Macaca fascicularis: one gene and its partner. The protein of the gene in region 2 interacts with the protein of the main gene of each other region in a pairwise test. Links are inferred from orthologs where the notes say so. Each region holds a gene or a part of one and is shown on either strand. Other genes may lie near its edges.

Region 1 (7,311 bases), about 29 Mb from region 2:
TAGTTGCTCCTTGGACATCTCATAGCTCCAAGGAGGACGTCGAGGAAAGTCCAGAACTGGGAAATCAGGAAAAAGTCCAAGTGTGAGGGAATTTTTAGGATTCAAGAGTACATCCCAGACCCCTCCATCCTCACACTAGGCTCTTACCTTTCCAAACTCCTTCCCCAGCCCAATACTTGTCTTGCTCTCACTCACCTGAGCCAGGCTGATAGACCTCCCGGATGTCCAGCTCCAACACCTCAGCACTGACCGGCTGTAGAACTTGCTCCCGGGCTGCTCTCTTTCTCCTCTCTACCTCCTCTCTGCTGTCTCTCTCAAAATGCAGTCGGTATCTAAGGGAACAGGGACCGAGACATCCAGCGCAATCCTGTGGCCACAAACTCCTATTTTCTCCCCTCTTGGACAATCAACTTCGCAAAGCATTCTCTCGTCGTTCAAGTCTCCTCTCTCAAATCAGCCTTCCCCCAAGTCCTTCTTTCAGGCAATACTCAGCCTCCTCCTTCTAAAAGCCCAACTCTCTCCAGCCCCTCTGGAAAGCAAGATTGTGGCCCGCACTGGGGAGCCGAGGGGCTAGCGGAGAACTGTGGCATCGCAGGCCCACCGTCTTCACCAGCAGCAGCCCGCTTTCCCCCAAAGCTCTGATTTCCGGGTAGGCGGGAAAGCCGGGACCAGCGCCCCCTCCCACCCTCACCGATTTGGGTCGTAGCCTCGTGGACCCAGCCCCTGAGAAGGCTGCTGGTTAAGCCTGCGGATATGATGGGTCACAGACTCCCCGTCCGAGGTGTCTGTCTGTTCCTCTCGCCGCTCCCGGCTCCCGCTGCGGCTGTTGGAACTGGAGCGCAGCCCATCTTGAAGCCCTGCGGGGAGGGGCCGGTGACGCCAGTGCTGGCCAGCTCTCAGGGGCCATAAGACCCTCTCCCCCACCGGTCTGACTCTTCTTCATCCCACTCAACTTCTTCCGACGCTCTGTCCTCCCAACCACCCTATTCGGGACCCTCCCGGATGTGCGTGGGGGGGAATCACTCCTCCAGGGAGCAGTAGGGACGGCGCCCCGTGCGAGCTGGAGGGATTCCCCTCCCCCAACTCTCCATCCTTCCCCACCCCTTCCAGATGTGGGGGGGTGGTGTGGGAGATCCCCTCCGCGATAGGCCGCGAGGGTTGGCGCGGTCCCACGACCCCCTCCCACGACCCCCAGAGGTGCAGCGGGCACACCCCTCCTTCCAGCTGTGCGGAAGCCCGAGCCCCGCCTCCTCCTCCAGCTCCCGCACTGACCTCTCTTCCGCTCCCGTTTGTCCTGCAACTGCTTCTTCTTTTGCTTCACGCTGAAGGGCTTCTTCCTCGGCATGGCCCGGACCAGTCACCTGGCCCGCCCTCCGCCGAGCTCCTGCCGCCTCAACTGACTGCCCCCCGGGGCAGTCCCCGCCGCAGGGGCCCGGGACCCTAGAGGAGGCGGAGCTAGCAGGTGACGTCAGCGGGCGGGCCCGACCGAATTGCCGCCGCGGCGGCGATGGAAGGCGGACAGGGGAGATACACAGTCACTTCCCTCCAGGAGCGAGGCGAAAGGATGATGCGGGGTGGGCTACTGGCACGTGAGAGCCAGTGGCACGGAGAGAGCACCCCGGCGGCGAGGAAGGAGGCGCGCGTGGGAGGACCAGGCTAACTCCGTCACGGACGCTACCAACTCGCGTTCGGAGGAGGGGGGAGCGCGTGTCATCACTACCTTGCGCTCCCGGGAGAAGCTACCACTCACCTGGAGGGGGCGGCGGAGCGGAGGGCGGGGCCTATTACCTAGGGGAGAGGAGGAGTGGACTCGCTGAGGCTACACTCCCAACCCCCAGGCTTGACCTTAGTGGAAAGCCGAGACGGTGCGTCCCGGGAATGAAGCCAGGTTGCTGGGCTACACCGGGGGCACGGTCAGAGGTCTTTAGGGGAGGGCGGCGGTCTGAAGAGTCCTGGCTGCCGACCTGCTGGGACCCAAATTCCTTGTGGGAACGATGATAAGGAGCAGGTTTACAGATCAGAAGTGCAAAAGCGGGCGAGAAGCGAAACCCAGGCGGGACAAGGGCTTTTGGAGGGAGGTCAAAGGGCACAAAGTTGTGCCTGCAGCTGTTACCATAGTAACCGAGGACCGGATGTGGCGATCTTACGGTGCGACAGTCCTCTTCTCAGGCCTTCTGGCCCGAGAGCCTGTTGACTCTGTGACACACTCTGAGGAGCTGGTTGTGGTGTTTTCCAGCGAGGGAAGAAGAGCGGAATTTTTTCAAAGCATTTATAGAAACGCAGCAAAGGGAAGGTGTGAGGTTGCCGCCATGCCTGGCAGAGACGGAGAGAGGCAGTTTACTCCAGAATGCGGCCGCCACAGATGTTCTCCGCAACCTTCCGGAAGTGGAATGGTGGGAGCTTGGGCATTGCTGCCCACCGACCCCCCGGAAGCGGAAACAGAATCCCCGCGTGCCCCTTCCTCACTACCCTCCAAATCCCGCTGCAGCCATTGCCGCAGCCACGATGCCGAAACGAAAGAAGCAGAATCAGCACCAGCCACCGACACAGCAGCAACCCCCACTGCCCGAGCGGGAAGAGACTGGAGATGAGGAGGATGGGAGTCCCATCGGTGAGGGGTCAGGGAGGGATGTGCACATGCCTGTCAAGCCCGTCCGGGCGAAGGGCTAGGGGCTAATAAGGTGCGAAGGAAGGGGCTCTAACGGAAGGAGGAAGGGCGCACGCGCTGGGTAGGGATGGCAGCAGGGCTGTCCCAAATGGAGCCTTGAACCAGGAGTTCTCTTACTGGAACCGTCAACCTCAATACGGCCCCAAACCTTTCTGGAACGCGGGGGTGGAGAGAGTAAAGAGCTCTTTTGCGCAGCCGCAGAACAGTAGGGGAAAGGGGCAGTAGAGATGTTGCAGATTGCGATGACTGGGTTGACAGTTTGTATCCGGATTTTGACTGAAAAGGTACAGGTGCCGCTTTCTCTAAACTAGTCCTCTGGCCGAGTGAAAGGAGAAGAGAACTGACTGGCCAGCAGTTAAGGTGAGGGATTGGTTTATGTCTGGAGACACTTAGGTTGTTTTGGATAGCGACGGTACGGTGAGGAAAAGAAAAAGTTGTATCTTTTCCTGCATTATCGCCTTTGATTGAATATCTACTTTTTGCAAACCCTGAAACAGCTTTGCAGAAAAAAGAGCAGATAGATGGGGTGAGAACTCCTAAGACTGCTGAAAATATACCTGACTTTACTGGTTGAATTAAGAAATGAGTAATACAAGAAAAACGCCTAAGAACAGAATCATCAGTCCTTTAATCCATTCTGATGACCATATTTTCATGTCTGCTCTTAGGACCACCCAGCCTTCTGGGCCCTCCCCCCATGGCCAATGGAAAACCTGGCGACCCTAAGTCAGGTGAGGAGGAAGGGGCCCTGATCCTTGTATTAGGTCGCGGATAAGACGGCAAGGGAGGGGATAAAACCCAGGAAGGACTTAAAAATCAAAAGGTCAGGGATTCCATCCCTAAATGAATGGAGAGAAGTTGTATATTTGCTGGCTGAAAAACTCAATGTTGTAAAAATGTCACTTCTTCCCAAATTGATGTATAGACTTCATGCATTCCAAGTCAGAACACCCATAATGTTTTTGTGGAAATACACAGTATTATAGGGAAATGCAAAATATCAAGGTGAGAGACTGTCAAAACAATCTTGAAGTGGGAGTGCGTACTATGAATATCAAGATTTGTAAGCTGGGCATGGTGGCATATGCCTGTGGTCCCAGCTACTCAGGAGGCTGAGGTAGGAGGATCCTTTGAGCCCAGGAGTTTTTGAGGCCACTTGGGCAACATAGTGAGATCCTGTCTATAAAAACAAGAAGGAAAAAAGACTTACTATAAAGCTACAGTAGTTACAACGATGCAGTTTGGACACAATGATACACATAAGTCAACAGGACTTATGTCCCGAAGAGTCCAATAACAGGCCCATACATGTGTGGACACTTCATTTATGATGAAGATGGAACTGGAAAGTTGGTCTTTTCAATAAATGATATTGGATCAATTGGATATTCATGTTAAAAAATGGAATTTCACCTTGTAGTCATAATCATATTGTATAATGGACTGTAGATCTAAGTATAAAAGGTAAGAGAATAATTATTCTAGAAAGTAAATGTATTTTCTAAGAGTAGCTAAGAGTTCTTAAACAGACAAGAAATGTAGGTATACACACTAACCATAAAGGAAAGATTGATAAATTGAACTCCATTAGAAAATATAAATTTGCGGCCAGGTGCAGTGGCTCACACCTGTAATCCCAGCACTTTGGGAGGCCGAGGCGGGCGAATCACGAGGTCAGGAGTTCAAGACTAGACTGACCAACATAGTGAAACCCCTATCTCTACTAAAAAATACAAAAATTAGCCGGATGTGGTGGTGTGCGCCTGTAATCCCAGCTACTCAGGAGGCTGAGGCAGGAGAATTGCTTGAACCTGGAGGCGGACGTTGCAGTTAGCCGAGATCGCACCACTGCACTCTAGCCTGGGTGACAGAGTGAGACTGTCTCAAAAAAAAAAAAAGAAAGAAAGAAAAGAAAATATAAACTTGCCAAATAACGCCATTAAGAAATTAACAGGAAGCTATACAATAGAAGATATTTGCAACAAATATAACCAATAAAGATCCTTTATCTATAATATATAAAGGATTCTTCCAGACAAGCCATTTGAAAAATCGATCAAAAAAAAAAAAAAAAAAGGACACCTTATTAAAATGGAGCTCTAAATGAACTAAAAGTCTAAATCAACAAGTACTCAATATCATTAATCGTCAAGTAAATGCAAGATAAAAATATACCACTTTGAAATTAGAACTCTTGTGTACTGCTGCTGGGATTATAAAATGGTGAAACTACTATATAAAACAATATGAAGAGATTCCTCTTAAGCAATTAAAAATATGTATGTATGACAAAAAAAATTAAAAATAGAACTACCCCAGAACTCCTGCTTCCAGGTATATAGCAAAAAAAAAAAAAAATGGAAAGCAGGGTCTTGACATATTTGCAGACTCATGTTCATAGCAGCAGTATTCACAATAACAAAGAGGTGGAAGCAGCCCACATGTTCACTGATGGAAGAATAAACAAAATGTGGCGTGTACATACAATGGATTATTATTCAGCCTTAAAAGGAAGAAAATGCTGTCACATACTACAACATGGATGAACTTTGAGGACTTTATGTTCAGTAAAGACATAGTGTATGATTCTGCTTATCTGAGGTGTCTAAAGTCAAATTCAGGGGCCAGGCGTGGTGCTTCACACCTGTAATCCCAGCACACTGAAGGCCAAGGCAGGTGGATCACTTGAGGTCAGGAGTTCGAGAACAGCCTGGCCAAAATGGCGAAACCCCATCTCTACTAAAAATAGAAAAACTAGCTGGGCATGGTGGTGCATACCTGTAATCCCAACTACTCAGGTAGCTCAGGCATGAGAATTGCTTGAACCTGGGAGGCAGAGGTTGCAGTGAGTCGAGATTGCACCACTGCACTCCAGCCTGAATGACAGAGTGAGATTGTCAAAACAAAAAATAAAAATAAAGTCAAATTCAAAGAAACAGTAGAATGGTCGTTACTAGATGCTGGGGGAAGGAAGACAGAAAGGGGGAGTTTTGTTTAATGGGTACAGAGTTTCAGTTTTGCAAGATAAGAAACTTTTGGAGATCGGGCATGGTGGCTTACGCCTGTAATCCCAGCACTTTGGGAGGCCAAGGCAGGTGGATCATGAGATCAGGAATTCGAGACCAGCCTGGCCAACATGATGAAACCCTATCTCTACTAAAAATACAAAAATTAGCCAGGTGTGGTGGTGGGCACCTGTAATCCCAGCTACTCAGGAGGCTGAGGCAGGAGAATCGCTTGAACCCAGAAGCCGGAGGTGGCAGTGAGCCGAGATCGCGCCACTGCACTCCAGCCCAGGCAACAGAGCGAAACTCCATCTCAAAAAACAAACGAACAAAAACTTGGAGATCTGTTTCACAACAATATGAATATACATAACACTACTGAACTGTACACTTAAAAATAGTTAAAATGGTAAATTTTATGTGTTTTTTGCCACAATAAAAAGCAAACAAAACGAGGCATGATGACTCATGCCTGTAATCCCAGCACTTTAGGAGACCAAGGTGGGAGGATCACTTGAGCCCAAGAGTTCAAGACCAGCCTGGGCATGTGGCAAGACCCAATCTCTCATTAAATAAATAATAACCAAACAAAATAACCACCACTTTTCACACTCACCAGAATGGCAAAATTTAAAAATCTAACAATTCTAAGTGTTGCCAAGGCTATAGGACAACTACTGGTGGGAGTGCAAATTGCTATAACCACTTTGAAAAAAAATTTGGCATTATATGTGAAACTTGAGCATAACATATACTTTATAACCCAGCAATACCTCTACTATGTATATACTCAACAGAAATGCATACGTATGTGTAACAACATGTATAAAAATGTTTATAGTGGCATTTCTCGTTATAGCCCCAAACTGGATACCACCCACATGTCCATCATCAGTAGAATGGATAAATAAGTTGTTGTGTATGCATGCAATGGGACTACACTGCAACGAAAATGAATGAACTACTGCTACAGGCAACCTGGATGAATCTCACAAACATGATGTTGAGCGAAAGGAGCCAGACATAAAAGAATGCAGACTGTATGATTCCATTTTTGTGAAGTTCAAAAACAGGCAAAAACTAACCTATGGTGTCAGGATAGTGGTTACCTTTGGGGAGGAGGGTGGGTAATGGGAAAAGGGGCACAAGGGGAGGATCTTTTGAGGTGCTAATAAGGCTTTATCTCTTCACCTGGTGGTGGAAACTCAAGTGTGTCTACTTTGTGATAATTGGGTTGTGCACTTAAAACTGGTGTGTCTTTAAAACCGCTGTTCTTCAATAAAAAAAATTTTTTAAATCAGGGCTTATCAGGATTCAGCTGCCCATTGGTCACCTTTCTGTGTCTTTCTTTCTCTCTCTGTCTCTCTCTCTCTCTCCAGCTCTTCACAGAGGTCCTCCAGGATCAAGGGGACCACTGATTCCACCACTGCTGAGTCTCCCACCTCCTCCTTGGGGTAGAGGCCCAATTCGGAGAGGCCTTGGCCCCAGGTCTAGCCCATATGGTCGTGGTTGGTGGGGAGTCAATGTTGAACCTCCTTTTCCGGGGCCAGGTCATGGGGGTCCCACCAGGGGAAGCTTTCACAAAGAACAGAGAAACCCTCGAAGGCTCAAAAGCTGGTCTCTTATCAAGAATACCTG
Region 2 (7,339 bases):
GAATTTAATTTTTTGCCCATGTTTTTCTTTTATTTAAGAAACATAAGTAAGATTATCCCAAATCTATTGGGAGAAAAAGGTGATTACATTAATCAAAAGAAAAGTCACTTTAAAGAGTCACAGGAATACTATTTTTAACCAGAAGCTGCTTTAGACATGACACTAATAACTTTCCTTAATTTAAAAACATATGAAGCTTTATGAAAAATATTTAAGAAACACTATCTAACCAAAAAATGGTTCTTTTTGATAACCGAAATGTAGTTAACTCACAAGTTTGCATTTGTGATAAGTATTAATCCCTGCTTCCTCAATATTTTAAGATCTCACTTATATCTGCAAAAATAAAGGCCAAGTCTAGATGGGAAGTCAAACTTTTCACTAAAGTTTGAAAATAGCACCTACAGTTTTTCGAAAACCATTCGAACTGCTGGGGTATTTGGCAGTGTTTGACATCGTCATATAATGCTTGCAAAGATTTCAGGCTAGGAAGTCTTCCCCAAACCGCTCTCAATTGGACAAAAATTTCTAATGCTCCTAAGAATATGGAATCACTGTAATTGAATATATAAATCCAAACAGATCTATGTCTGTCAGCAGACATAGAATATTTCCAGACAATATTCTCATGTATATATATTTTTGGCCTCAAACATTAATAGTAGTTCAATAGACTTAAGAACATAAATCTGTCCCCAATACCCAAAATAAAATATACACCTCAAATTACATTTTAGTGCCATAAATATATTATTAATCATTAAACTAGGAAAGAATGAAAAAAGTTTTGAAAATGTGCAGCCATTGATTTTTTGTTCCGAATATACAAACATCACTTCGTTGTATCCATCAGTAGTCTGAGACTTAATTAGAATTGCAAAAACAAAAAAAAACAAAAAAAAAAACCATATACATCACTTAGTCCAACTCCTTAATTTGAGAGACAAGGAAACTGGGCCCAGGGAAAGAAAGCTTACCCAGATTCAGTTGAGGTTAAAGTGGAATTCAAATCCAGGTATCTAGATTCACAGTTTAATGCACTTCCCAGAAGCAGAATAGATATAAATAACCTCATGTAATTTCATCTGGCAACCAAATTCAGACTCTGAGTAGAACTTTAAAGATAGTCCTGAGTTTGCTGTTTTATCATATTCAAAAGCACCTACCATAACAAGTGGATAACTAAACAACATTATAATCGCAGGACGAACATTATTTTAATTATTTAAGCATACTAGAAACAAACTTCAAACTACATTATTCAAGATTTCTTCTGAGTAACAATCAATTGAAATCATTCTTATGGAAAACACACAGCAGAAACAAGTGAAATAAACTACAATGGACCCCCCAAAAACCCCAAATAAACATCCAACTAGTACTTTCAACCCCACAGCCTTCAATTCTACATGCAGCACTGTCAATTGAGCCCTGATTTGCATCTATCACCAATCAAAATGCAAAATAAATCATTGTGAAAGCTCATTGGTTTATATTACTGCCTTTATAGATATTAGCTTCCGGAAAATCATTCTGAAGAACTGAATCATCTGTATCATTTTTATTACTCATTCAGGCTTGACACTGTCTGCACAGTACTGACTGAAATGTACTTCAGTATGCACCTTCTCTCCAAATGAATATCTATGTCAGGTTTATTTATAGCCACTGCCTTCAATCAGTGCATTCTCAAGTATAAGAAATAAAATCACCTCAATGATACTCTTCTATAGACATCTGAAACTATGTGTGGACATCTTGGCAACTGGCCTTTGGAAAGATAATGAAAGATCTATACCATAAAATATACATTAAGATCATTGAGATTCCAAGAACAATCATCTTACACTCTTTAATAAGCACATGTAAAGAGTCCCAAGTACTGAGGTAATCTAAAACTTATGCATCCTTTTGCATAACTCTTTATGTACTCCAAGATTATTATAACCTCCTCCATTCTCTTTTCCTTATGCTGATTTCTCTGAAATTTAGGTACCCTCTTTGTTTCTTACTTAGATGCTTTCCTCTATTCAGGAGCTTTTCCTTCTAATTCTTTACAAAAGCAGGGCATGCTTCCCCCTGCTGGGAAAAAATCAAATTACAAGGAACATCAGAACATGTTCCTAAGTATTATATCAAGAAATCAAGTTCCTAGGAAAGATAAAATGTTAAGGAACCAAGTGCATAGCCTTCTCTGACTGCTTTACCAGACAAAGAAATACTTATGCACTCTGTTAAGAGTTTCTTGTACGCATTTATTTAGCTTGACCGCCTTCAAGTACAATAACTCATATTAATGACTGATGAATTAATCTTTGAGCCACTTGTCTCAAATAGAACTCTAATTAGCGGGTCAGAGAGAACGATCAATTTGTAAGTGTTTTTTTTTTTTTTTCACTTTAAAGACATATTATCAGCTACATAAAGAAATTTCTGGAAAATACATTGAAGACTATTCAAAATATATTAAAGATACTGAAGACTGGTAAGACTTGCCTTTTAAATCATTTCAAACAATCTTAAACATCTATTAACTCATTATTTTGCTATTATTTTTATGTAGTTGTCTTTTTTGAGAAAGCAAAAAAGTGCATTTTTATTGACTTTACTTTTCCACTTTAATTTCTATTTTTTTCATTCAGTAACCAAAGTAGTAGGCATAATTGTATTTCACCTTCCCACTTATCTATAAAACAAGCTTTTTTCCCTGAAAACAGTTCAGTTATTTCACATGTTCCATGTTTTGACTATAAATCTTTTTCTAACTGTTTAGCATTTAAACATAAAAAAAACCTTACACTTTATTGTTAACATAAATAACAATCCATCAATTAAAAATATAGCTAACACCGATTTAAATCATATATTGAGGAGCAGAATTTATTCTTCCTTGGTACAACTAAGTCTCAAAAAAATCTTTTAATACTGAGGAGCTGGGGTAGAGGAAGTTATCCCTTTTAGTTTTTTGCTGTATGTAAGTCCATAACAACCTTAGCTACAAAACTGCACTGTAACCAATTTGATGATGAAGCAATTCATTATTAATGAAGCATTCATCTAAAAAAATCTGCAGCTGTTTTATAAAAGGCATGTGTAAATAACTACAGATATAGGTGTCTTGAGTATTTAGATGGCATTATTATAACATAAACGGAGTAATTTGGTTAATAAAGTTTGTGTGTCTTTTTTTTTTTTAACCTTTCAAAGCAATGCAAAAGACAAGACATATATGTTCCTCTGGGAACGAAATCTCCTTTAACATTACAGGTACACAAAAGAAAATGCACACTTGGTAAAACAGTTGATCAATTATAGAGCGTTCCCAGGGACCAGTATCTCGCAGAGTACCCAATCATCACACTTCAAATAAATGTATAAGCACTTTAGCCTCTACTTACTACATTAACATACATATAAGAACATGCACAGTTTAATGCATAGGTTAATTCTAACACTTTCCATAGGATAGACTTTGATTAAAGGGCATCAAACATCACTTCCTAAATGCAGTAAAAAATAAAAATAAAAATACTGATCTGTAGCCAAAAAGCTCTTAGAACACTACATTGATCACCATTGACTTCCAAACTGCTTTCCCCTCCCTCAGCGAAGTGAAAATGTCCCTGTAGACCGCGTTACACTTTACGGTTTCTCTATCAACGATCCTAACAGGTCACATCGCCACTGCCATTAGATCTCCGTAGCTTTGGTCTTCTCCAAATTAAGACGTGGAGAAGGAGCACTGCTGTCCGCCCCAAGAACGGGGTCTGTCCGCCCGAGCTCTGAGACGAGCATCTTCAGGGGGACAGTTTCTGCGAAGGCGGCGACAGGAGTCCCTCCCCAACTTCACTCCCCTAATCAAGCCAAGGGTGAAATAGGCAGCCGGCGGTTTGTGCCCATCGGTGGGGGCAAGTCCTACCTTCTGCCAAAAGGCGCGATGCATGCACAAAAGATGGATCCAGGCTATCTTTCTCTGCCATCAGCTCAGGCAAATATTTCTCCTCTTCCATAGCGCGGACTTCGGACTGTCCCCGGGCGAAGCGCGAGGTTCCGCTCGCTCGGACGCAGGGTCGTGGGGCAGCGCCTGGCTCCCGCGCTGCTCCTCCTCTGCGCGGCGAGGGGATCTCTGTGCGTCCTCACTGGCCCATGCACCCAGCACCTGCGACTCCCGCCGTCGGGCTGCGTGGCCCCGCGTCCACACCTGCCCGTCCCTTCCGTCGTCCCTCGCTCGCGCCGAGCCCGGGCTCACACCAGCGGCCTTAACTGGAGAGGCGGGAACAGGGCGCGGCCCACCTCCGCCAACCACTCATTGGTGGTGATGCCAGGAGAGGCGGGGCGCTGGCGAAGGCCGCGGGCCCTCATTGGGCCGTGGTGCACGTCGGGTCGCCTGACTGGCAGGAGGCAGCTGCAGAGGGGAGGGGAGCTCGGAAGATGCAAACGCTTTCTTCTTGCAGCCCAAGCCTTCCCTGGCTATTAGGCATGCCCAGTTCTGTGGAGCTCTCTGTGTCTTCAGCTAAGGTGCAGAGGAGAGAGAGGGCGGGAAAAGCGCCAGGTTAAACAGAGAGGTCTGAGTCCAAGTGGACAGGGGAGATGGAGATGAGAAGTGAGCCGCTGAGAGGGTGGAAAAGCGCCAGCGAAAGTCTCAGGAAGGTAGATGGGACTTCACCTGCGTCTCTAAGGCACAGGTGTCTCCTTTCCCTCACACAGCTCAGACGCACTACAGTTGTGCAGGAATCAGCAGCGCACTGGGTCTGGAAATATAATGAAGACTGCATGTGATCGGCAGCTGGTATTTCCGATGACCTACATCTCAGATAGGCAGTAGGATGTTCATTGATAAACAAAAAAAGCGGCTCGGAGAAATATTGTGCAGAAACATTCTTCCGGTGTAGAATCATTGGGATATTGAATTAGTTCTGGTAACCTATCTGTCCCTCCTTTCCCCAGACCCTATCTGTGGAAGGCAGGTTGGGAGGGGCTTAATTTAAAAACATATATATATATGTGTGTGTATATATATATATGTATGTATATATATATATATATATGATTCATTAGTCACAGTTTGTGAAGGAATTGGGAAGACATGTAGAAGAAGAGACTAGAACATAGGTAATCACGTTTGCTCTAATTCTCCCCTTTCTCCTCGTTGTATATGTGCCAGTCTCTTTCACCAGGTACTGTTGCTGAGCTACTTTGTATTATCCCACCTCTATTTAAAGGAAAGTTAAACCCTCATGATATCACCAACTGTGACCGAAAAAAAGCCCCATCCTTCTTTTACCAATGTGGCCATAAATGTAACTTGCATTCCTCAATCGCTAGGAAATAATCTTTCCCCAAGTCTTGGGTTCTCTTTTCATAAGCAGTCATTTCCTGATTCTTTCCCCCATTACTTTTGATGTAGAAGAATGAGGGCCAACTTTTCTACAAATAAAATATGCTGAAATTTTTCCAACTTCTCTTACTGAATTTAAATATTTTCCTTTTTATTTAATTTTTAGATAAATTTAGGAGATTATCTTTTATTTATATAATGTTTAAATAATGTAACGTGCCTCACATCAATTATTTCAATATGTCCTCGCAGAAGCACTCTGAAAGATGCCAGCCAAGTATTACTTTCTCTGTTTGTATAAATATGGGAACTGAGGCAAAACAGAGAACTTGTCTCATGACTAGTGAATGCTGAAGTTGAGATTAAAATTCAATTCCATATTAGCACCATTTAGATCCAGATTATACTGCTTCAACCTACCTTTCTGTGTGTTAAATATTTAATTTATTTGTGCATGAGTGCATTCAATAAAAGTTTATTGGATACTGAAAAGAGTCTAGGGACAGTACTTAAAATTGGAGAAACATTGATGAACAAGATACACATTCATTCCTTGTCATCACAAAGATATTTTCTAATGAGAGAAGACAAATAAAACCAAGTACACAAGAGAAACGGTAATTGCTGGCTGCAATAAAGGTCAAGAAAGAACCAAGGAGTTAAGCAAGATACTACAAGGGAAGACATTAGTTTCTTTATTTTTAACTAGGGTAAACATACAATCTCGATAAGCAGCTGATATTTACGGTGAAAATTCATGAAAAAGATTGAACCAAGTGTGTGCAATGTGCAAAGAAAGGCATTCTAAGCACGGGAACTTGCCACTGAAAAAGCCCTGTGGTGGAAAGAACTGTGCTGACTTTTGGAATTGACTGGTTTCAATGTGACTACTGTAATATGGGAAAGAATGGAATCAATAAGAGTGGGGGATTGATGTGTACAAACATCCAGGATTCGATGAATGAAAATTATTTGGATTTTATTCTAAGTGTAATAGGGGACTATAAAGTATTGGTGTCTTTCTGGATGTTCTTCTTAATCTCTTTCTGATTTTTACGTTACTTTCAAAGAAGCTATTATTTAGAAATGAGTACATATACAAAAAGTTCTTGCTATTTTATCGGTGTGCAGAATGTTTAGTAGTTGATGGGTCATGCATCCTGCACCTGGTCTGCAACAGGGATATAAAGGGAAAATATGCTTCAAACTTCAAAGAGGTGGCTACGATTTGCTATTGTAGTCAAGGATGAATACGATGCCAATCACAGCCAAAAAACTGTAAATATTTTCAAATAAATGTAAATTAGAACAAAATATTTTACAATAATTACAATAACATTTTGCATATCAAGAGATTAGAAGCATATAGTGAGGATAGGGACGTGCAGAAACCCAGTTTCATGAATGAAGATGGTGTAGGAAATCTTATAATGTCCAGCAACAACAATTACTTTATTATTCAAAGCCATCTTTTCTATGATTACAGGATTAATAAGATACCACAGAGAGCTGTCCAAGTGCTGACTTTATTATATAACGTCTTCAAGTCATTATAAATATAGTCACGTTATTTTTCTCTAGTTAATATCAAAACTAAAGATTTATTATTTGTAGTTCCTCAGGTAATCCCTCATCAAATACCTAAAATGCATTCTAACAAAGCAATGTATTTATGTAACCTAAAAAATCAAAAGAAAATAAACTCTAACCTAATCTTTAGAAAAGTCTGTGTACTTAGTACATGATGGATATTGTAAAATAAAGATATATAAATATATTGACCCTTAAAAATCAATGTGCTTCAGAATTAACTCACAAAATATTGCCCATTTTTAAACAGAATATGACTAAATAAAGGTAAACACCAAGGGCCCTACATATACACTCATCCAGCATCAGATCCACGTGTTTTCAATAGATGGCTCTGTGTTACTACATGTTTTCCATTTATTTCACATGCAAATTTTTTATAGGTACAACATTATCTTTTAATATTCTCAG

The links. The genes of interacting proteins can lie anywhere in the genome.
Region 1: the proteins of KHDRBS2 (region 2) and PRR3 interact in binary tests that used the Homo sapiens proteins (3 or more experiments, as listed by UniProt). The two-hybrid records come from large-scale screens. The link is inferred for Macaca fascicularis from reciprocal best matches to the Homo sapiens genes KHDRBS2 and PRR3.

What each region holds. Positions count from the first base shown.
Region 1 is NC_088378.1:142,094,959-142,102,269, reverse strand, and holds the start of PRR3 (proline-rich protein 3), read left to right. Parts: upstream 1-2,505; coding exon 2,506-2,611; intron 2,612-2,872; exon of another isoform or gene 2,873-3,028; intron 3,029-3,336; coding exon 3,337-3,399; intron 3,400-6,532; coding exon of another isoform or gene 6,533-6,571; exon of another isoform or gene 6,572-6,973; intron 6,974-7,052; coding exon 7,053-7,311. Other genes in the region: GNL1 (guanine nucleotide-binding protein-like 1), read right to left, coding at 1-56, 196-332, 692-857, 1,273-1,345.
Region 2 is NC_088378.1:112,615,334-112,622,672, reverse strand, and holds the start of KHDRBS2 (KH domain-containing, RNA-binding, signal transduction-associated protein 2), read right to left. Parts: upstream 4,250-7,339; 5' UTR 4,011-4,249; coding exon 3,920-4,010; intron 1-3,919. UniProt on the Homo sapiens protein: RNA-binding protein that plays a role in the regulation of alternative splicing and influences mRNA splice site selection and exon inclusion. Binds both poly(A) and poly(U) homopolymers. Phosphorylation by PTK6 inhibits its RNA-binding ability.